Linked DNA regions of Lepisosteus oculatus. The protein of the gene in region 2 purifies or fractionates together with the protein of the main gene of each other region. This does not show direct contact. Links are inferred from orthologs where the notes say so. Each region holds a gene or a part of one and is shown on either strand. Other genes may lie near its edges.

What was found.
Region 1: the proteins of golga7 (region 2) and zdhhc5a purify together in Homo sapiens (co-immunoprecipitation; 3 studies listed by BioGRID and IntAct, with this or other methods). This does not show direct contact. The link is inferred for Lepisosteus oculatus from reciprocal best matches to the Homo sapiens genes GOLGA7 and ZDHHC5.
Region 3: the proteins of golga7 (region 2) and cldnd1b purify together in Homo sapiens (affinity purification with mass spectrometry; 3 studies listed by BioGRID and IntAct, counting the BioPlex papers as one, with this or other methods). This does not show direct contact. The link is inferred for Lepisosteus oculatus from reciprocal best matches to the Homo sapiens genes GOLGA7 and CLDND1.

The regions. Positions count from the first base shown.
Region 1 is NC_090701.1:41,810,176-41,817,906, reverse strand, and holds the start of zdhhc5a (palmitoyltransferase ZDHHC5-A), read left to right. Parts: upstream 1-4,689; 5' UTR 4,690-5,684; intron 5,685-7,731. Other genes in the region: polyribonucleotide 5'-hydroxyl-kinase Clp1, read left to right, coding at 2,368-2,829. UniProt on the Homo sapiens protein: Palmitoyltransferase that catalyzes the addition of palmitate onto various protein substrates such as CTNND2, CD36, GSDMD, NLRP3, NOD1, NOD2, STAT3 and S1PR1 thus plays a role in various biological processes including cell adhesion, inflammation, fatty acid uptake, bacterial sensing or cardiac functions.
Region 2 is NC_090697.1:67,434,702-67,441,840, reverse strand, and holds the start of golga7 (golgin subfamily A member 7), read left to right. Parts: upstream 1-4,056; 5' UTR 4,057-4,147; coding exon 4,148-4,156; intron 4,157-7,139. UniProt on the Homo sapiens protein: May be involved in protein transport from Golgi to cell surface. The ZDHHC9-GOLGA7 complex is a palmitoyltransferase specific for HRAS and NRAS.
Region 3 is NC_090701.1:44,637,459-44,644,863, forward strand, and holds the start of cldnd1b (claudin domain-containing protein 1b), read left to right. Parts: upstream 1-4,353; 5' UTR 4,354-4,472; intron 4,473-7,405. UniProt on the Homo sapiens protein: Plays a role in negatively regulating the permeability of cells to small molecules.

The DNA.
Region 1 (7,731 bases), on a different chromosome or scaffold from region 2:
CCCCACTCTCTCTGGGGCAGTCTGGTATTGCTCCAGGAGCCTCTGTCATACCCCACTCTCTCTGGGGCTGTCTAGTATTGCCCCAGGAGTCCTCTGTGATACCCCACTCTCTCTGGGGCTGTCTAGTATTGCTCCAGGAGTCCTCTATCATACCCCACACTCTGCAGGGAAGTCTGGTATTGCTCCAGGAGCCTCTGTCATACCCCACTCTCTCTGGGCCAATCTAATATTGCCCCAGGAGTCCTCTGTCATACCTCACTCTCTCTGGGGCAGTCTAGTATTGCCCCAGGAGTCCTCTGTGATACCCCACTCTCTCTGGGGCTGTCTAGTATTGCTCCAGGAGCCTCTGTCATACCCCACTCTCTCTGGGCCAGTCTAGTATTGCCCCAGGAGTCCTCTGTGATACCCCACTCTCTCTGGGGCTGTCTAGTATTGCCCCAGGAGTCCTCTGTGATACCCCACTCTCTCTGGGGCTGTCTAGTATTGCCCCAGGAGTCCTCTGTCATACCTCACTCTCTCTGGGCCAGTCTAGTATTGCCCCAGGAGTCCTCTGTGATACCCCACTCTCTCTGGGGCTGTCTAGTATTGCCCCAGGAGTCCTCTGTGATACCCCACTCTCTCTGGGGCTGTCTAGTATTGCTCCAGGAGTCCTCTGTCATACCCCACTCTCTCTGGGGCTGTCTAGTATTGCTCCAGGAGTCCTCTGTCATACCCCACACTCTGCAGGGAAGTCTGGTATTACCCCAGGAGTCCTCAGTGATACCCCACTCTCTCTGGGGCGGTCTGGTATTGCCCCAGGAGTCCTCGGTGATACCCCACTCTCTCTGTGGCGGTCTGGTATTGCCCCAGGAGTCCTCGGTGATACCCCACTCTCTCAGGGGCAGTCTGGTGTTGTTCCAGGAGTCCTTGGTGATACCCTGCACTGCGGGGAAGTCTGGTATTGCCCCAGGAGTCCTCAGTGATACCCCACTCTCTCTGGGGTGGTCTGGTATTGCCCCAGGAGTCCTCAGTGATACCCCAAGTGTTCTTAAAAACAGGGAGTGCCGTTCCACTGAGGATGCCCAGGGGCAGTGTTCTTACAGGGCTCTATTTATGGCTCTGTAGTGCTTCCTTCAGAGCTTTTCGCTGTGGAGAATAGGAGTTTTATTTTCATTTCTGGAGTGTGGATTTAATCCCCGAGTAATTCTAATTTTGTTGCAGAATTCAGTGTTGCAGCACTGAGCCCAGCAGTGCGGGGAACTAGGCAGAGGTTATAAACACTGTGCAGGCCCAGGGCCCAGGGCTCAGGAGGACACACTGACAGAAAACCACTGTAGGAACGAACTGCACTCACGGCTTGACTTCGGGCAATTTTCATGATTATCGCATCACACCGCTGGTGCTCCAGTGCTGCTTCAGTGCTCATGCACCCCAGTGGGAGTATTGTAAGAGTACTCATAAGGCTTTGGTGATGCCTCTGGGATCTATGATGAAACCCATTTAATTTATTTTCCCCTGTCATTGTCCTTTAAGCCCAGGAATATAAGTGGCCACACTGCAGTGTCAAAGTACTTTAAATGGGGCCTCTGTGGTCCGCTGTACAGTCTTGCTTCAGTGTGTGATAATTGGAAACAAGCTGACCAGTCAGGCTGCCCACTCCGTCAAGCTGTCCTGACTTCTTTCAGGACGCAGCTGGACGAGATCCTCCAGTCAGGACACGAGGCACTTCTTTACACGAAGGGTGGTGGGAGTGTGGAACAAGCTGCCCAGCCGTGGCGTTGAAGCTGGTACCTTGGCTTCTTTCAAAACCCAGCCGGATGAGATCTTTGGATCAATTTGTCATGAACTACCAAAAGGGCTGAATGGCCTCCTCTCATTGTTGTTATGGTCCCTCGATGTAAATTCTACACTTCTGGCGACATGTCCTCTCGCTGGGTAACTGCTGGCCCACGGTGGGAGATGGTGGTGGTGTCGACACCAAGGGCTGTCTTTCTCAAAAGTAGCCTCCTGTATCTCGGCGTCCTCCCTGCTAACACGAGCGTGCTCAAGCAGCAAGAGAGTCACGCCAGCGTGGCCAGGCACTCGCAGCTCGTTAACATAACATAACATCACTTTATTGGCCATATACAATTTCTTGCTTTAGGAATTTGTCTTTTCGCATACCCCAGCTTGCTCTCCATGAGACACACAGACAGGGAGAGAGAAGCTGGGGGTCAGAGCGCAGGGTCAGCCATTTATACGGCGTCCCTGGAGCAGCTGGGGTTAAGGGCCTTGCTCAGGGGCCCAACAGAGTAGGATTTGACGTTCCAGCCACAGGCGCACATCCTTAGCCACAGAGCCACTGCTCCTCCCCAATAACTCATTAACTACTTAACCCCTCTCTTCCAGGTGGTGGAGCGCTCCAAGGAGTGCCGTCGCGAGGCGCGAGACGAGAAGATCCGGGAGTACTTCTACGGCTTCCGCGGGGTCTCCTTCTTCCCCCACGCCTTCGACGTGCGCTTCTCGGACGTGCGGATCTACAAGATTGGCGCCCCCTCCATCCCGGACTCCTGCCTGCCGCTGGGCATGTCCCAGGACGACACGCAGCTCAAGCTGGTGCCCGTCACGCCCGGGCGGGACCTGGCGCACCACGTGCTGAGCGTGAGCTGCGGGGGCGAGGAGGGCGGGGCCGAGGCGGGGGGCGGGAAGGCGGCCGGGGGCGGGATCCTGGACAGCCCCGTGTGCGGCTTCATCGTGGTGACGGCGGTGGACACGCAGAACCAGGTCATGACCGTGCTGTCCCCCGCGCCCCGGCCCCTCCCGCGCCACGTGCTGCTCATCATGGACATCCGCTTCATTGACCTGAAGTGAGCGCCGGGCCGGCTTGGCTCAGGCGGTCTCGCGCACGGACAGTGACCGTTTTAAAGCCCGGTTTGGGGGGTTGGGGGGGGGGGGGGCGGTTCCCAGGAGCCCCTGCAGCAGCTTGACGTCCAGGGGCTTGAACGGAGACAGAGACGTGGAGCCAGCAGTGACCTTGCCCCAGTACTTTCATGACGGGCTCTGAGTAAGTCAGCGGAGATTGTGTTTTTTATCATCACCCCACCCAGAAACACATCCAGGAGCTGCCACGGTTTCTTACTCAGCAGCGGGAAATTCTGTTTTTTGTCTTTCCTGGAAACAGCTCTTTTACAGATTTGGCACTCTGACTGCACAAATCAGAAGGTTTGCTTGTTTTAACAAAGCTGATTTTTTTTTCTGGAGTATTTTTAATAAAAAAATTATTTGCTACAAAAAAGCTGTTCATTTTGCATTAGTGAGAGGTGTAGCAAAGTCACTGTTTGAATCAACCGATTCAGGAGAAAGGCAGTTGAATGCCGTTTTATACAGTTTTTAAGACGGGTGTTGAGAGTTCTGTGCAAAAGCACCAGATCAGAAAAACACTTCTAAACTAGAGGATCAGTTCTAAATTGCGGCCCATCTAGGCTGATTGATAATTTATCTAATAATCTCATTCATGTGTCTTGAAAGAAACCAGACAACAACGTGCCTGGGAAGCTTGTTCCACACTCCCACAACCCTTTGTGTAAAGAATGGCCTCCCATTTTTGGTTTTAAATGCTCTTCGCTGTAGTTTCCATTGGACTCTTCTTGTTCCTGTTTATCTGCTGATTCTTCTAGGTTAGAACTGTCAATGTGTTTTTCAGGATTGTGAATACTCGTATCAGGTCTCCTCACGGTCCAAAAGGCTCAATTCCTTTGGCCTGTCAAGTTAGGACATTCCTTTCAGCTGTGGAATTAAAGAGTGTTGGTCAGCACATCATTCAGTGTCTGTGCGTTTGTCACACTGGGAGTCAATAATGGTCACTCAGACTCTGTTAGTCCTTCACTTTGTCACATTCAGATTCGAAGAGCTTTATTGGCCTGACTGATGAGTTATAGCAAATACAGATATCACTATTTATACACATTTACAGTACAAATATATTATTGGACATTTATGTACAACACATAAAACATTCTTGTCCGTTCCTGAGATCACATACTGAAGTGGTCACTGAGCCTGTCCTCTCTGGACAGACAGGTCTGTCTGTGTCCAGTTTCTGTGTCCAGGCTGTGGTCACACAGAGCTGCACAGGGTCTCTTTCTCTTTGCCTGGTTAGGTGCTCATCTAGTGTGTATCACTAAGGGTTCTATAGCATTCCAGTTGTTGTTATGTTTGTGTGTGAGTCCCAGTGAGAGGGGTAGTGTTGTTTGGCTTGTGTTGTGATTTGGTTGACTGATTCATGCTGTTTTAGCTGTGCTGGCGTGAGACAGGTTGGTGTCAGTGAGCCTCAGGACCAGCTGGCTGAGGGGGCTCTTCTCTGGGCTCAGCAGGGTCTTGTGGTTTTAGGAATTCTGGTTACAGAATTAACACAGCTGGTTGTGTGATCCAACATGTTTGCTAAATGTGACAGTCCTTCAGTGTGACAGGCACTCATCACAAACATCTGTTATGAAAAACCAGTATGATATTGGATCTGCATATGTAGTTCAAGTAGATAGCTGCGTCAGCATGTGTAGGCTGCAAAGGAACAAGTTAAAGGTTTATTCCATGCTGAAAAGAGAAGAAAGGAGACAACGTTTCGACTGTGGAGTCTTCTTCGGTTGTGACATTTATATGTTTAAATGTATATGTAATAATTAACTTCTTGACAGAAAATGGTCTACACATCTATGTATTTTGAATGTTATCACACCCACGTCCCCGAAGTGCACACACATCACATTAATCATGGAGTGTGAACTGAATCAAAGTGGGAGGGATTAAGGTCACCTATTTTCTTAACCCATTTGGCTGTCAGTCGCAGCGCTCCAGGCACCTCACTGGCTGTGTTGTTTTGGAGTGACGAGCTGGTTCAGCCAATGGCAGCTGCGGGGAGGCGGGGCTTCCAGCGTGTCCTCGGGAGTTGAGCAGAGGGGGGGGGGGCGAAACCTGAAGTGTTGCTCGTGCCGGATTTTCTGGGCTCGTTTTTTTTTTAAACCAGCGGAGTGTCGCGCACGAGCCCAGCGGCCGATAACCGCAGATTTGAAGAAAAGCTCCGCTCCCGCTCTCCGCTCGTTTCGAAGAGCGGATCAGAGACGAGACCGGGAGGGACGACTGCCTGCGGAGGGGAGGACAGTTCGTTGATGAAACCCAAATAAACATCAATTGGAAGAGACGGCGAGTGGCCCCCCTGAGCTTGGACCGGGACTGTCGCGTCTCCTTCTTCGAGTAACAGAATCTGTTCAAGTCCGCCTCGGCGAGACGGGCAGGAGGAAGAGCGGGGCTCGGCCGAGGCTCAGCGGCTCCTCCGGCGGGTTGTAGCCCCGTCGTGTCGGGTGTTTCGGGTCCGGACGGGACGTGTGGAGAAACCTGCCCTCTTCCTGCGGGGGGGGGGCGGCCGCACACGGGGTTGTTTTGCCGGGGTCTCGGTGGATACCATGAGAGGGAAGACCCGTCTGTAAGCTTCTGGGGCATCATCCCCACCTCCCGGCATCGTCAGCCGAGGCCCCCCCGGAGTCCGCGGGCTGTGCGGCTTGGCCCAGCCCGGCGGCGGGGCTCGCACGCCGGCGGAGAACGTCGAGGAGAGCTCGGGGATCAGTCCCGGGGCCTTCGTTCACTGCCACTCGGAACTGCTCATAGACGGCGACACACCACCAAAAATTAAAGAAAGGTCACCCGGCGCCGCGGCGGAGGGGCGAGAGGAGGTGAGCCCGTTTGTTGTTACGCTGTTCTCTCGTGTGTGTCTACCAGACCTTGTGTGTTATTGAGCCCAGGCGGCAGGGCGCACAGTCCCGGCTCGGGACGGCCTCTGCCGCCGGTGAGGAGCTGGGAGTGGGGTGGTGGGGGCAAGCCGGGCGGGAGGTGTCGGTTCTGCTCGGACAGCTCAGCCCGACCCGGTTTGGACCGCGGCCAGCGTGTTAAGGTCGGGGGTTTGGGCGTCCCGGGTCGCCGCTCGGACCTGTGTGGGCTGTGTCGGTGCCACGGCAGGCCGTCAGCTTGTTTGTTTTCTGCTCCCCTGGGATGGGAAGGGAATTCCCCCGGCCGGGATGCCGGAGGGGTCCCGGCTGCTTGTGGGAGCTGCTGGCGAGGAGGGTGGCTCTCTGAAGAGCTTGCTCTGGACCTATGACGTGTGGACTGGAGTGGAAGTGGGTTTCAGCGGCGTGTCTGGAGTTGTGCTTCTCTCTCTCTCTCGTGTGTGTGTGTGTTTTTGGCAGGGATCCGCAGGAAGACATGCGGGGCGGCGTTCAGACGAGCTGACCCTTGTGACACAGGTGTGGTGTCTTGACCCCCGTGTCAGATGGGAACGCTGCTCTCCCTGATCGGAACCAAATTCTCATTCAGCCAGTTAGCTCAGTGCCCCCCACCTCCCTCGTCCCCTCTCCCCCCTTTTTTGTGAGATGCTGTGGGGATCTGCGAGCTCAAGAGTAACTTCAGTAACTGAGTGGTAAAGTGGGAGTCAGCCGTGATGTGGGGGTGGGGGGTCCCACTCTTAGATGAGGTGAAAGCTGCAGTCTGGGGACCTGCGGTTTGTTATAACCTGAGGCCACCATTAAGCAATTAACCTCATTATTTTTTTTAGCCATATAGGACTCAAAGTCCTTTACACCTAATTAATTTTATGACAGCTACCAGCCTGACCCTGGCGCTGGTGGGGCCAGTGTATCTGCAGGTTTTCAAGCCAAATCAGCCTGAGCTGGACTGGGTGGTTACTTGTTCAACTGGGCCACTTCAGCAGCGTCTCCCAACTTTTCTGCTGCCGGTGCTGATGTAAGGAGACCTTGAAACCCCCTCGACAAGTGTCCCCTCCGGGGCTGCGGTTGTAGTCTGATTAATAAGTGCCGCAACGTGAATTTTATTCATTAATCTTTTTATACCCTGCCTTTTGTGACATACTTCGCAGTGACGGAAAGGCAACACCGGAGACGCGCGCAACACGAGTAAATTAAACGGAGGGAAAAGCCGTAGTGCGAAAGAGACCTCTGAGAGGCGTCGGGGAGAGCGGAGTGACTTGCGCAGTTCCGCTGAGGGCTGGGAGCGCTGGGACGTGAGAGCAGAGCCGAGTCCGAAGAGCACAGGTGTATAGGGTGTTGGCTGTAGTCAGGGGCCCAACCCTTCAAGCCCTCAGCAGGATTTTCAGTCCTGTTCTGGAGTAAAGAGTGCGGGAGGCTGCAACACGAAGGGAGTGCAGGAGGGGGCTGTGTGTCTCCCAGGTGGGGACGCTGGTGCAGGAGGGGGCTGTGTGTCTCCCAGGTGGGGCCGCTGGTGCAGGAGGGGGCTGTGTGTCTCCCAGGTGGGGCCGCTGGTGCAGGAGGGGGCTGTGTGTCTCCCAGGAGGGGCCGCTGGTGCTGGAGGGGGCTGTGTGTCTCCCAGGAGGGGCCGCTGGTGCAGGAGGGGGCTCCCATTGCCACTGATGAGTAAATTAAAAAGACGAAGAGGTAAAGAACGCTTGTCATGGTGCTTTTGTCAGGTTTCTGTAGATCAGGTGAAGCTCACTTGCATTGAAATGGGCCAGGTTTTTAGTCTTTCGACCACCAGCTGTCTCCAGTCACCATTCGTCGCGGGCGAATCGCGAATCCCGGCGGGGCATTCCTGTGCCAGGGCTGGTGGGGTTTAAAACGAGCCGGGCGGGACTGGGTCTCAGCGCAGGCCTGTACACCCAAGACCTCGGCCGTGCTGGATGTGTCAAACGGGAATCCCGCGGTTCCTGCTCCGGGGTGCCGTGACACGGCCTGCCTGGAGGTGTGAACGCGG
Region 2 (7,139 bases):
AACATTTAATCAATAAAGCTCTCCTGTGTTACACTGTTTTTATAATTAAGGATGGATTAAATTAAAACTTCAGTCCAACCACAAACAGAAAATTCAAAGCCCACAACTTTATAGAGCGGCTTTCCATTGGATACACAAACTGAAAAACAGAAAGGTATTTATCAAGCGCTGCATTTCAAGTTTGTGCTTGTGTTATTCGCAGACAAGAAGTAATGATTTTCATGTTTACTATAACTGCTTATGTTAATTCAAACTGTGCATTGTATGATCCATCCATATTTAATATATAGTTGGATTGAAGTACAGTATCTAACGGATACATAAGCCCAACAGCTTGGCAACAAAGTTATTTTATCTTATGTAGTAACTATGTGTCACAGAGCATGAGTGAAATAAATGTTTTCAACACCATCAAAGGCAGACAAAATGCTTAAAATTGATTTAATAAGATGTTTTGGACATTAAATAGTAAATACCTTTCTAAACATTTTTAAACAATAGCTCCAACTGACCCTTTGATAATCTTGGCACAGCAATTTCTCTTTATTACAGAGTTTATTTAATCAGGGCTACAGCACTGTAAATACAGTAGAATCTATACTGCTTACTTACTAAAAAGGATAAACTCAACAAATGAAGCAGAAACTGAATGTACTGCATTTCTAAAGTGAATTTTGTGCAGAATGTCTTACATTCATTTTAGATTCTAAACTATTTTTTTAAATTCACACAGTAAATTTAATCAGTGTTTGCTGAAAGTGGGAAAATAAATGAAGTAAATGTTTTACATGTTATGTTCCTACTGTAATTTAAGAAATATATAAGGAACAAATAAAACAATACATCTCTTTATCATACAATACAGAAATATATTGAAACTGCTCATTATTTAGCTGAGTTGTTTCAAATGTGTAATAGTTTATTTTTAAACACTGAGGCTTCAAAACAGTATGATAACTTTTAAAATAATAAAATGTGTATTCTTATTGTAATTTTCTTATAGAACAATACCTACAGTAACATAACAAATGGAGTTATTTTTTAAAAAAAATCCATAGCATTAAAATACAAGTGTTTCTTTGTATACACTGCAATAATCCATTTGTTAGGGATTAATTTCCTTAGCTGAATAGACTGCTTGAATCAATATGGGTAGGAAATACCCATGTTTTTAAATTATTGCACCCCCTGGCCTTACCATGTTCATATAAATCAGACCGTGTCATTAACAGGTCTCTATGCAATTTTTTTGGGTTCACTGGAATGCTCCTCAGCACTCGTTTAACATTTCTCGTCAGTTTTTAGCTTTCCCCTCCTTTTGTAGGAAGCCAGGGGTCGACGGGGTAATTGGTTCATGCAGATAACGTACTTGCCATTCAAATAAACTCACCGTTTCGCAAGTGAAAAGGTCAGCCCATTCTCAGTGGCTTGAGTTTCTACACAAACAGGAAGAAAGTCATGATGGGTTCATGAACCAGAAAAGCTAGTCTAGTGGAACTGCACCCTGAACTACACTTTGAACCCAACTTTCTTTCTTCTCCGTTTTTTGAATGTGCTGGGTAAAGGTATCAGATGAATACAGAATGAACAGATCTGCCAGACTGTGACCTCCCCAGTGCTCTCCATTTAATGTTCCCCTTTCCCATGAGGCCTTGAGAACCCACCCAACACACAGACAAATGCTCACACAGGCTGTCTGAAAGGGTTAATAAGTCTAGTTGTCTACTGGTAGTTTTGTGACAAATCGCATATAGAGTCAGTGATTTGAGCTAAAGTATCTAATTTCTAATTTAGTCTTTTATGTCATTAACATGTCAATAATAAATCTTACAAATCTATAATGCTCTTTCTTTCAGAATTTATAACTTTATTCTGACTACTTTAAACTATGTCAGTCCACAAAATCTTTTGCTGAATTATGTTTTTACAAGTGTATTATTAACTTTATTAATGATCTTTATAAATCCTTATTATATGCTATATAGCCTTATTGGTGCTTTGTCTTTATCCTATTGGATGTTAATGCTAATTGCCAAGACTAAAATTAAACAGAGGTATTATTCAATATACAATTTTTCTGTGAAATAGGTGACTGAAAAAATGTGCCTATTCATGAAAGGAAAAGGAAAAAGGTAGAATGTAAAGATTTTTATTTTTAATTGCTCTTTTTCCCATGGGGAAAACCTAGTATTTACTTACACAAATGTTGTATAAACTGAAAATCTTCTCCCACTAGGGCAGATTAGCTACCTACACCTACCTACGCTGCACCTGAAACGTGAAAACCAAGGTACATGAAAACTTTTTTTTCTAAATGAAATATGTCTACCACCAGAATTTTTTACTATATTATAGCAGGTGGGGTCACTCATTTCAGAAATGGTGGGAACAGGGGCTAGGATGGGCTTGGGAGCTAATTCCATATTGCTGTAAAGTTATCAGCATCTTTACACCCCCACTCAAGCTCATAACACTATTAGTTGCAGCTACAGTGGTCACAATATACATCTGACCTTGCTAAAGAGGAGGTTTCAATGCAAAAAAAGATATGCCATGAATCTGTCTTTTTACAATGAGGAATCTGTGAAACTGAACTTCATGTTTTTTCTGGATAAATTATTAAGCCTTTTAAACTTTAAATCTGTATATTCTCTCTCCCACACTTAATTATGTGGTAATACCAACTCCTGTCACTCATTTTGATAGGTTTTGTCATGTTAAAAATGCTTTTGGAGTTCGAATTGGAGCTTGCACAAAAGCATGGCCATTTAGACACTTAGAATTAGAGCGAAGCAAAAAGAAATGTGCTCAATGCAAAAAAACAGATTTTTGTGATTAATGGACTGAATGCCTTACATTTCTAGAAATCCTGGTGAGATTCCCAGTTTGCCTAGTTTTTAATGGGAAAAAAATGTAATGACAATAAAACATCAATAAAACATTTGAAAAGGCAAAGTAACCCAACTGAGCTGGGAACTCACTAGAAACACCAATAACTCTAATAATTAACGAAACAGAGATACAGTACTGCATATACAGTAGCAGCCTTTGTTGATCCACTTCTGGATTAATTCTTCCCTAAGACTCTTCCATGAACATTTGCCTACAGCTATCTTTGTCCAACTTGCTATTGCAAACATAATGATTTCACCTTTTAATTTTACATTTGTCCTTGTTATTTTATGCCTCTTGTAAACTAGCTCAGTATTTCCTTGGTCCAGAGAATGTCTGTTCTATGTTTTATGTGTCCTACCCATTGCCAATTCATTGTTTTTCTGATGTCACATGCCCTTTTTGGGTGTTCTGACCCAAGCATAAACTGTTAATTGTGTGTTGTTTGGTGATATCAGAGCGAACACTTTTGAGCACTCTTGAAATCTTATAAATGGTGCTGAGTAGGTTTATCGATGTCTGTTTTTTAAACATCTAAAGCAGGTACGTTGTACAGAGTGTGAAATGCTTTCTCATATGCAGTTGATTCAATAAATGCCAGTGTTTTAATGATTGTCCAACTACTTGCTGACAGCTCAGTGTGTTATATCCAGCACTGAATCCTGCTTGCTCTCTAGGGCGGACAGAGTCCAGTTTTTCTTTGAAGCCTTAGCGCACATCTTGTTGCTAAATGTCAGCTAGCTGTACTGTATGTTTTTATTGCTGTTCTTGTACAGAAATGTCAATAAGGTATTGCTCCTATGACCTGGAAATCCCCTGCCTGTAAATACCAGGAGATGGTGTAGTTTGATGGGATCTAGTTTTGGCTCTATTCATGCGGAGTGATAGACAATTAAAAAAAGTTCCAAAAGTTCCGATGAGTTAACTCACGTGCAGCTTTATACAAACGTTGTTAGCCTCTCAAATTTGAATCAGTGAAACGATTGATTCTGCAATCGTCGGGATTGCTTTTCCGCGTTAAAAGTCATTTTCTAACTTTTAGAAACACTTTAAGAAATAAGCCACTCTTAGGAACAAGACTGAAACGAAATAAATTCATTAGTAAATTTAAATTCTGTACAGTTGCTGAAAAAAAGAGTTAATAAAATAATGGCCTTCAAGCGGAACATGTTTTTCAAATTTTCAGTCGGACTTGTAATGTAAGTGCACCAGTCAAGGCGGAAGTACGGAAGTAAGAAATTAAAGGGGTTTCAACATGGCGGAGGTAAGGGAGGGTTCTAATTTTGTTCTAAGTTTATTTTATTTGGTTAGAACGGTTGCGAATAAAAAAAAATAGAGAAACCTTTAAATATACAGTATATTTTTAAAATATCCATGTGACATGTTAATGTTTTGGTGTGATGTGTCAGTACAGCGTTTTGTGCTCCAGCGTGTTTACAATGTTACTTGCTTTTGAAAAAACAAAGCACAAATCTTGTAATCGATAAGGTGGGGGAAAAACACTGACAGTTTCTGTAACAATCTACAACTTTACTGTTCAGCTCCTATAAATTATTGTAAGGAAGGTCGGTTAGGATATTTCATTAAGACAAAAGCTGTCTGCTATCAGTTCAACACAGCTCTTCAGCAACTGCTTTGTCCAAGAGAGAATCCGCCGTGTTTCTTCTTGATAGTATTTAATCAAAACAAATGGACAGCATTTTATAGTGTTAAATGCATGCTTTAACCTACGTCATTGTTTAAATGTATTTGCTCGGAGGGTAATGACAGAATTTTTAAATGCATTTCTTCTTTAGACAACTAACGTTTTTAAATGAGTCGAGTAACTGGGAAGTATGAATGAGGAGCCGAAAAGTGAAGCTAAATTAACAATGTACTAAAAGCTAAACACATTTTAACAAAGGAACCGTTTGTTTTTTAAAAAATATTGATTCAATCGACTTAGTCTAAAAGTGTCTTATTTTAAAAGTACCTGCTACATGACATTTAAGTATGGAAGAATTGAAGAAAAATCGTGAATGTATTAGTAGGACAAATTAAAACCTGCTTAAATGTTTACAGGTGTTTTTTTTTTCGTTTCGATCAGTTACAATCCGCGTTATTTTATTTTTAGCTAGTTGAAGTGTTGTGGGGTTTATGTTTCAGTTTGATTAAAGATTATACATTGTTTTTTTATGTCAGTTCTCTTATCTGTCCACAAACACAATCAGTCAATAAGAATGAAATATTTTAAAATGAACATATATTTTAATAATGTACAGTGAATGTCTACTTCTTGTGATTTACAGTTTTTAATTATGTCTTAACAACAAACATCATGAATCATTGCCGTATTCTAGATGGGATAGTTTTGTGACACTATCTTCACCTTAATCTTAAAATGTCTCTTGTGAATTGGAACAAAGGTCTATTGCAGTATTATACAGATTGTGTTACATTCTCTCTGGCAATGCACAGGACGTCTGCCTTGTTCATTATGCTCTGTCGTCACTCAGCTTCAGCAAAGGTAATACTGATGAGTCAGTGACTAAAGTTGTATTGACTGACATGAGATCTTGGCCAAAGCATTTTTATTAATCCTCTATACTCTGTGGTGCATAATTGGCCTGACCAATACTTTCTTCTGGCATTTAGATAGACACATTTAAGTGCTTGCTAAAGCATAATGACTTGCTTAGCAAGCTTCTTAATGTGTGCAGATACCATATATATCAATGTTAGTGGGGAAAATCTGAAACTGAGGTATCTGTGGTATCCTGCACAAGCAGCAGTTAATTAATAGGCACTCTCTGGGAGCTATGTAATCGTGGAAAAATAGCATGTGATGATCAAACTTAACTCTGTTATATCAGAATAATGTACAAAGAAAGGCTTTGTCAGCAAAATGCGTGTAAAAATTCAAAGAAAATACACACATTAAAAAACTAGTGCAGAAGTGCTTAGACTCTCCTAAGTCAGTACTTGCTGGAAGCAGCTTCAGAAGTAATTGTTGATGTGACTTTTTGGATAAGTCTTGACTGCTTTGTTCGGTCCTGTTTTCCCACTCTTTGAGAAAAATTGCTCCAGTTTGACAGTATTACTGGGGTTTGTTGATGGAGCACAATCTTCAAGTTTTGCTATATATTTTCTGATTCAACTCGGGGTCATTGTTGCATTGTCATTAATGTCTTTCTTGTCACTCACCAATACAGGACAGCTTTATATAGAATCTGGTATATTGTCAATATGTGACATTGGTGTTCATACACAGAAGTTTGTAAACCATTTAAAGTCAGTGTTCATCTCAAAGTAGCATCTCTAACCAGTATAACTTAGGTCCAATGATATGAAACGCATTCCACTTTGTGATTACCAGCAACTTTGATTTTTTGGGTAAAACGTTCCTGATCTTTTCTTCTACTTTATTCTTGACTTGTTTGGAAAGGACCTTGGTCTTCATGGTTGATTTGATGCAGTGTATCACTGTGTTAGTCGTGGCTTGAAATTCAATATCTAAATCTGCTGAGACTGATGCAATAACTCTGAAGTCAAATTAAACCACTTTGAATGTAATGAACAACCATTACACTGATTTTCTGAATTTTCTGACTAATTGTTAGAACCTGAATTCATTTCCGTTTATCATAGAAAATATTTTGAATACTTACACATTTGAGAATCTTCGTATTTTCTTGGAAAATCTAATAGATTATTTACATTTAACAATATTTTGTAGCTTAATCAGTTGGGATGGGTTTTGCGCAGATTCTCAATATCTCAAATATTTGAGAATATATTCTCAAAGTACTGTTTGAAAGTGTCATGATTGCAGGCTTAGATTACGCACAATGTAGAAACGCTACAGGGGGGCATGTACTGTAAATGTATGGATTCTACTAAATGTGGTTTTAAATGTGTGCTGCGAATTTCAACGCTGGAATTGTATTAGAGGAAAAACTCTTAAATTCTTTGCCTGTTTTTAGATAAAATGTAATTCCAGTCTTCAGACATGTAAAATTAGATGTACTAGATCTTAACTCAATACACTGACACATTGTATGCTTTCTTAAAGTCTCTTTGTAAGGCTTTTCCAGTACATACTTGGATAAAAGCACCATTGTTGATATTGTTTTATTTTTGTAAAAATAAACAGTTACAGTGACGTGGCATCATGCAGTAGAATTCAAAGCCCGTTTAAGGTTACAGAGATGAAAGTCTTTCCTTTTAAAATATTGTGTTCAGTTTTGGTCCTCACAGTGCAAAAAAAG
Region 3 (7,405 bases), on a different chromosome or scaffold from region 2:
AGCTGCCCACTCATGAGGTTGAAATGCGAGTGTCTGATTGTTGAGTTACTGAGCAGCTGATTGAGAGCGTAATGTTACAGTGAGCACTACAGCCTCACAGCTCCAGAGGCAGGGGCTCTAGTCCATCTGGGAGCATCTGTCTGTGCGGAGATAGCACGTCAGTTTAGTTCCTGACTGTATCAGTGACTCCTTACACACCTCCTTGGCCTGCTTTTGGTTGCCAGTATGAGGCTCCAAACTCTGGAAGACCCTGGGAGACACAGGGAACACAAGCTTGTGTGTTCTTTTAGTGATCTACGATAAACTAAGATCTAAGATATGATCTTCTCTTTACAGACCTGTTGAACCCTTCTGCATCCTGTCTTATAACTCACTGTTGTACTCTAGATCTTAATTCTGTTTCCCTTTCTGTTGAAATTTGGTTATAAATGAGTATTCTGTGTTATTTTATTTTGGCTTGTTTTTCTTCAAAACTCATCTGGAGGAAGTGTTATGAAAGTTGCAATATACCATTAAGATTAATATTGTTACAGCTTTAGGTGACTTAGAAGTGACTCTTAGATTTCAGATAAAGTCTGTGACACTGGGAAGAGTAAACACTTCAAACGTGGAAGGAGAGAGGATGTTTGCTGAGGTCTGGGGGGGTCCCTTGAGCAGAAACAACTGAACAGTTTATCTTAGCATACCTAGGTAAGTTCTGGGTTAATGATGGCAAAGGAGCAGGACAGAAAATGACAATGTAATATCACATTAAGAGCCCGAGAGGAGGAAGGAAGACAGGAGAAGAAAAAAGAAGAGAGAGGAGCCCAGAGGAGTTGGCGAGAGCCCCTACTTCATGCTCACCCAAACAGAACCTGACTGGAGCCAAGTATTCGAACCTTGTTAGAGAGAGCGCTGTTCTGTGTTTTCAGGGAGCTTGGGTTTCCTGGTACCTCAGTTAGAAACGTCTTTCCTGATTAGGGTGCATTTTATGGATTGGGATATAGGCTCCCATTCATTTTGTGGCATCCAGGGTGCAGAGAGAGAGATTTAAGTGTAGATTGATTCTTATTTAGTTAGAAGGCAGCTCATCTCTTGTGTGGCCTCTGTAGGCATATTAAGAGTTTTGTGCTTAGTAGCAGTCTGGGGGTTTCGGGGTGACCAGAATGTTAGGCCTTGTTTGTAAATACTGTACACAGAGTAACTTGTGTGCTGTGTGTAGTGTAGTTTGTGTTTTGTCATTGTAATAAATATTTGTTTAACCGAGTGTGTCTGGATTAATACTCCTCTCAACAAAGCTGTGCCAGAGGACAAAGAATTCCTATGCCTCCAATTATACCAGCTGCTCGGGTATAGAAATCACTTACAAGTTGGGGGTTCTGAATAATTATTTCACTGATCGACTAGCCCGCTCAGTCAATTCCTGATTTTCACCAGTCTCGTTACCCCCCATTTGTCACAATGTGATGATGGTGTGTGTCCATTTGACACTGCACACGGACAGAGGCAGACCCACCGACAGCTGTGACCACAGTGTAAATATACCAGGCATCTGCTGTAGACTTACTACAGGACCCAGTTACTGTCCAAGTGAGTCAGATTAACACTGCTTTACAGTCTTGATTGAAGAGCTAGGGTTCTCACAGACGGAACTGTCACAGTAAGTCAGAGTAACACTGATCTACAGGCTTTCTTTTCAAATAGTATTTTTGTGACTTCAATGTAGAAAAGCTGCACTACATTTTCAGTTTTTACTTAATTTTTTCAGCTAACCTCAAACGTTTTGCTGTGGTTTGTGTTGACTAGCAAGTCTTTACTCTCAGCATGTTATATTGTTTTGTAAAATGTCACAGTACCTTACAGCACTTTAATGAATTTGTACCAGGAGTTCACTGTACTTTCCTGCTCTTTGTGCTTTACCATGGTTTCACTGTACTTTACTGGACTGGACGGGACTTTTACAAGTATCTTAACCGTAATGTTCGCTGGATCTTACTGTATTGTAGTAAACTTGAGTGCATTGTACTGTATTTTTGTCTTTGATCTCACTGGACTTTACTGCTCTGTACTGCGCTTGTACCCTGATTTCACTGGGCTTTACTGCACTGTACTTTGCTTTTAATTTAATCTCCCTGGGGTTTACTGCACTGTGCCGCTCTTTTACCTTGATCTTACTGAGCTTTGCTGCACTTTACCGTGTTTGTACCCTGGTTTCAGTGGGCCTTACTGCACTGTGATGTGCTTTTACCCTGATTTCACTTGGCAGACTTTCTTGTGCGGTAGCACAAAGAACAGTAAGACGTGACTCTCAGCCTTGAGTTTTACAGTCCCCGCATCAGGTGGGGCTCTCTGCTGCTACGCTTGACACTGGATGTGTTTGAGAATGAAATAATTTAGACCCAGTTCTGGTCAGAGAAGAAGCGTTTTTATTGCAGGATCTGATACACACAGCCTCCTAGAGTGCATAGAAGGATAAAGAAGAAACAATTCAGTGTGGTTAATTCAGCAGATCAATCGGAATCAGCGGAAGCAGAGCTGTGTGATTGATATGACATGCGCCAGTGAGCTGCTTGCTGAAGACGAAAGGGATTCCTTCATTCCTTCCCTCCTGGGCCGTCCCGCTCCTCGTCTCTCTCTCTCTAGCCCCCTTGGCAGCGGTGGAAGGTGATGAACTGGAGTTTGCTGCAGTTTCCCAGCTGCCCCAGGCACTGCTCCGGTCTGACAGGCTTCCCCCGCAGGGCCAGCGACACATCGGGACCCAGATCCGGCAGCTCCGCCCGCAGCTTCACCAGCAGCCGGCCCACAGTGTCGGAGCGCAGCAGCTCCAGCTCCCGGCTCTTCCCACTGTTCCCGACGATGACCTTTGCCATCACAGTGCCCCCTAGTGGCTCCTGCTGGTCCCTCTCTGCCAGGTTCAGGGTCATGGTGGTGTGAACCACACTGGGCCAGAGGTCGCTGTCATATTGACAGCTGGTCTGCTCTGCCAGAGGGAGTGTTGCCTGCAGGCTCCCAGCGGGCTGGAATGAGGAAATGTGTATCTGGGGAAATCCAGGACAAATCAGTCAACTAACTGTCTCTGGCTGTCTGTCCATCACTCAAAACTCAGGTGCAAACTGGAGATCAAAGAGGGAAACCCAATGAGAAAATGTAGCTCATTCTGCCTGAGTATAGGTGACTGTGACTAACACACAGCTCTGCTATTGACAGAAGAGCAGGTATAAACTGCAGGATCTCATTCTGCCTGAGTATAGGTGACTGTGACTGACGCACAGCTCTGCTATTGACGGAAGAGCAGATATAAACTGCAGGAGCTCAGTCTGCCTGGATACTGGTGACTGTGACTGACACACAGCTCTGCTATTGACAGAAGAGCAGGTATAAACTGCAGGATCTCAGTCTGCCTGGATACTGGTGTCTGTTACTGACTCACAGCTCTGTGATCGACAGAAGAGCAGGTATAAACTGCAGGATCTCAGTCTGCCTGGATACTGGTGTCTGTAACTGACTCAAAGCTCTGTTATCGACAGAAGAGCAGGTATAAACTGCAAGAGCTCAGTCTGCCTGGATACTGGTGTCTGTAACTGACTCACAGCTCTGTGATCGACAGAAGTGCAGGTATAAACTGCAGGAGCTCAGTCTGCCTGGATACTGGTGACTGTGACTGACACACCGCTCTGCCATTGACAGAAGAGCAGGTATAAACTGCAAGAGCTCAGTCTGCCTGGATACTGGTGTCTGTAACTGACTCACAGCTCTGTGATCGACAGAAGTGCAGGTATAAACTGCAGGAGCTCAGTCTGCATGGATACTGGTGTCTGTAACAGCTATGTTATTACCAGCCTCAGTAAGAGATTTTCAGCCTGGTAAACATACTCTTCCCCTTTCACCAGACTAACTCAGCTGGCAGTATGCACGCTGTGTGCAGAGGCAAGAAGACACTCTTCTGATGCAAACTCTCTGTGATCCTTTGAAAAGCAAAGTTATCACGTCTCGTTATATATGGCCAATAAAGTGATCTGTTCCTGTGTCTTCTTCTCCAACCGCTGCTATCTTCTCCACACTGAACACAGACCGCACAGCTGCACAAGAAGCGGTCGTACAAGCGAATTCCCCAGGCACCCAGAGTGGGGAGAACACACCTCGCACACACACCACACAAACTGCTCCGTCTTAGTTACGAAATAAGAGTACACAACAGCCATCGCCCCCGGTGCCTGCTCGCGTGGAAGAAGAGGGATGGTGATAAAACAGACCTGTTTCTGAGTGCACATCGCCATGATCTCTCTTGACTTCTCCCTTGGCTTTGAGTGCTGCTCTCCGTATCAGCTTTCTCTTTCTCTTTCGGATCGAGCGCCGGATCTTATAAGCTGATCATGACTCCACCCTGGGGGGGAATTCCTCGACCTCTCGATGTACTTTCACTGGGCTAATAAACACCACAAGGAGCCAGAGATCTCCGATCCTCTTTTTCTGATAAGAGACCCTCAGCCAAGGTCAGTGTCAGACCCAAAGAGGCAGAAAACGTACAGCTTCTAACAGGAACCACAGACAGGATCTCACAGTGCCTCTGAGATATGTTTATACTTCTGAGGAGACAGGGACAAAATGATCACTGAAAGTCTTACAAGCTGAATAATGGGTCTTGCTCAAACACTAATTCTCACAGCATCAGACTGTAGTTGTCCTGCACAGATAAAAAGTCGTATTTGTCATAAATTATTACTTTACACCTGTAAATATTCCTTAAAACAAAATCCAATGTCCAAGATTAAAAGAGAGTTAAGGCATGGAAGACATTCAATAGTAGCATGGCAGTAGAGGCTCTCAGAAAGCTGAATCTATCACTTTCCACTGTAAAATCTATCATTAATGATCTCACTCATAAAGTGTCCACTCTGCCCGGAAGAGGGCACACTTGTCTATTGTCACCACAGGCTATGAGACAAGTGGTTCTGGAGACAGCAGTACAACTAAAAGTTCGCAAACAGTTGAAGATCTCCAATGCACTTGGGGATATTCAGGATACAAAGTGTAGAAAACTGCCTTTCAAAGTTGCTTGCCTGAATGCGACATTCATACCTGGGCATCTAATTTTCTATACAATTCATAGCAGAAGCCTCTTCTGAGGGTGAACCATAGACTGAGGTGACTAAGGCTTGACATCACTGGATCGACAACTGAAGCCATGTCCTGTGCTCAGTTTCCATGAAAAGTGAGCTGTCTGGGCCGGGTCCGGACAGCAGTCTGGACCAGTGCTTTCCAGGACCAGCGCTGAGGATCCCTGGACTACCTGGGTCGGACCAGAGTCCTGGAGGAGTGGTAGTAGTCTTTAGTTATGAATGTCAGGGTGCACTTACACATGGAGATCACCAGGGACTTCCAGTCTGAGAACAGGAGACACGTCTTTACACAAAGGTAGAGGCAGTGAGAGGTGGCTTTTGAAACATTTTGCGTTTATATTAGACAATATTGTGTCTAAACGAGAAACCAGATAACATTGTGTTAAAACGCAATAATTAATTTCTAAACAACATTGCCTACAATATTATATCTTGCATTAAACTCTATATGTAATAATGTTGCCTCATGCAAAGTAGCATTGACTTGAACAACACAAGAATATTGTCACACTCCTCTTTGTGCAAAAAAGACTTAATCAAATGGAGCACGTGGACTGTTTTTGCACACAAGAAGTAAAACACTCTGTCAGTGAGCATTCCTGGATTTAAACGCGTGTCATTGTCACAATTACCGTGAAAACCATGAATGGCATGCCTTTCCAATCGAATGTTATTCTAGAGGTGAAACTGCAGCAGCATGTGTGTCTGATCTTCCAACCATGCACGGAATACAACAATGATGACTTGGCAGCAAGACACAGTATCTACTCTTAGCGTACTGTTAAACCTCAAAAGCTTTTAGACTAGGCTTATTTCAAATGCATTTGAATTATGAGTGACACAGCAAAATGCTGGAAGAGTAATTGAAAGGGAGGAGAAACAGTACTTCTGTGTCTGTTTCCACAGGCGTGAATGTTAAGAGATAGGGGAATGCCGAACTAAAAGAAGAAATCCAGGATGGCACACAGCAGCAATGACAGTAACAGTAAGCCAACAGGAGGTATGAGCTTTGCTGTCAAGTGCTCGTAAATGTATTCCTTTCAATGCTTAAAGAGTAGGCAAAAACCCTCGCTATTTAAGTTATTAGGTCAAGTCAGTCTCCACTTTTCTGGATGGGGGTGATCAGTCCTTGATGCCCTCAGGTGAACAGCCGGCTCTCAGGACGAGGTTGGAGAGTTTGAGCAGGGCCTGCTGCTTCTGCAAGCTGCTATTTCTCAGCCTTTCATTGGTGACTCTCTTTCTGTGGCGGGCCAAGCTCTGCGATCGGGGAGTCTAGGGGGTTTCGGTTGTCTTTGAGTTTGTCATATACTGGATGTTGTTTTGGTTTAATGCTTCTGTGTTTGGGATCTGTGGGTAGAGATTTGCAGAACTGTTTTGCCAGACTGATCCATTTTGGTTGGCTGGGTTTCCTGGTTTTGCTTTATTTAAATGAAATTCAGCTTTTGCCCTAAAGTACTTATTGACTCCTCAACTTGTGAGAGTTGTCTATTTGCGCATTTCTTGTGTGTGTCTGTAGTCAGTATGGCTGGAGCCTGGAGCCTGGAGCCTGGAGCCTGGAGCCTGAAGCCTCCTCTCTGTCCTCTCCCTTCTCACACAGACTGAAAGACCTACCTGCTCATGTACATCATCTCTCAAAGCCAGGGGACTGGCCAGACCCACCCAGCCAATCCAGTCTGCTCCTCTGCCTGTGGCATCTGTTTCAACATGGAGAAACTAGTTTTCAAGGCACTGCAGGACAACTAAGTGCAAGATCAGACAAACCCAGGGCCTCTTCTGGTCTTATAAATGCATAATGTTTCAAATACTGGGAGACAGAAGAAAGGTAAAATTCTCTTCACTCTGCCTATGTCCCATTCACCCCTGTGCAGCATCAAAACAGAAAGCAAAAGCAGAGGAGAACTTTGACTCAAAACATAACGTGACATCAGAAGGGGAACAGAGGTAGTTTCCAAAGACAAACTTCCGTGTTCAAATAATTGCCTGGGCTTCTCAGGCTATGGCAGAGAGTCACACTGTCAGGACACCCCAACACCGAGGGGAAAGATTCACTCCATAGGACACCCCCACACCGAGGGGAGAGTCACTCCGACACCCCCACACCGAGGGGAGAGAGTCACTCCGCAGAACACCGAGACACCCCCACACCGAGAGGAGAGAGTCACTCCGCAGAACACCGTGACACCCCCACACCGAGAGGAGAGAGTCACTCCGCAGAACACCGTGACACCCCCACACCGAGGGGAGAGAGTCAATCCGCAGGACACCCTGACGCCCCCACACCGAGGGGAGAGAGTCAATCCGCAGGA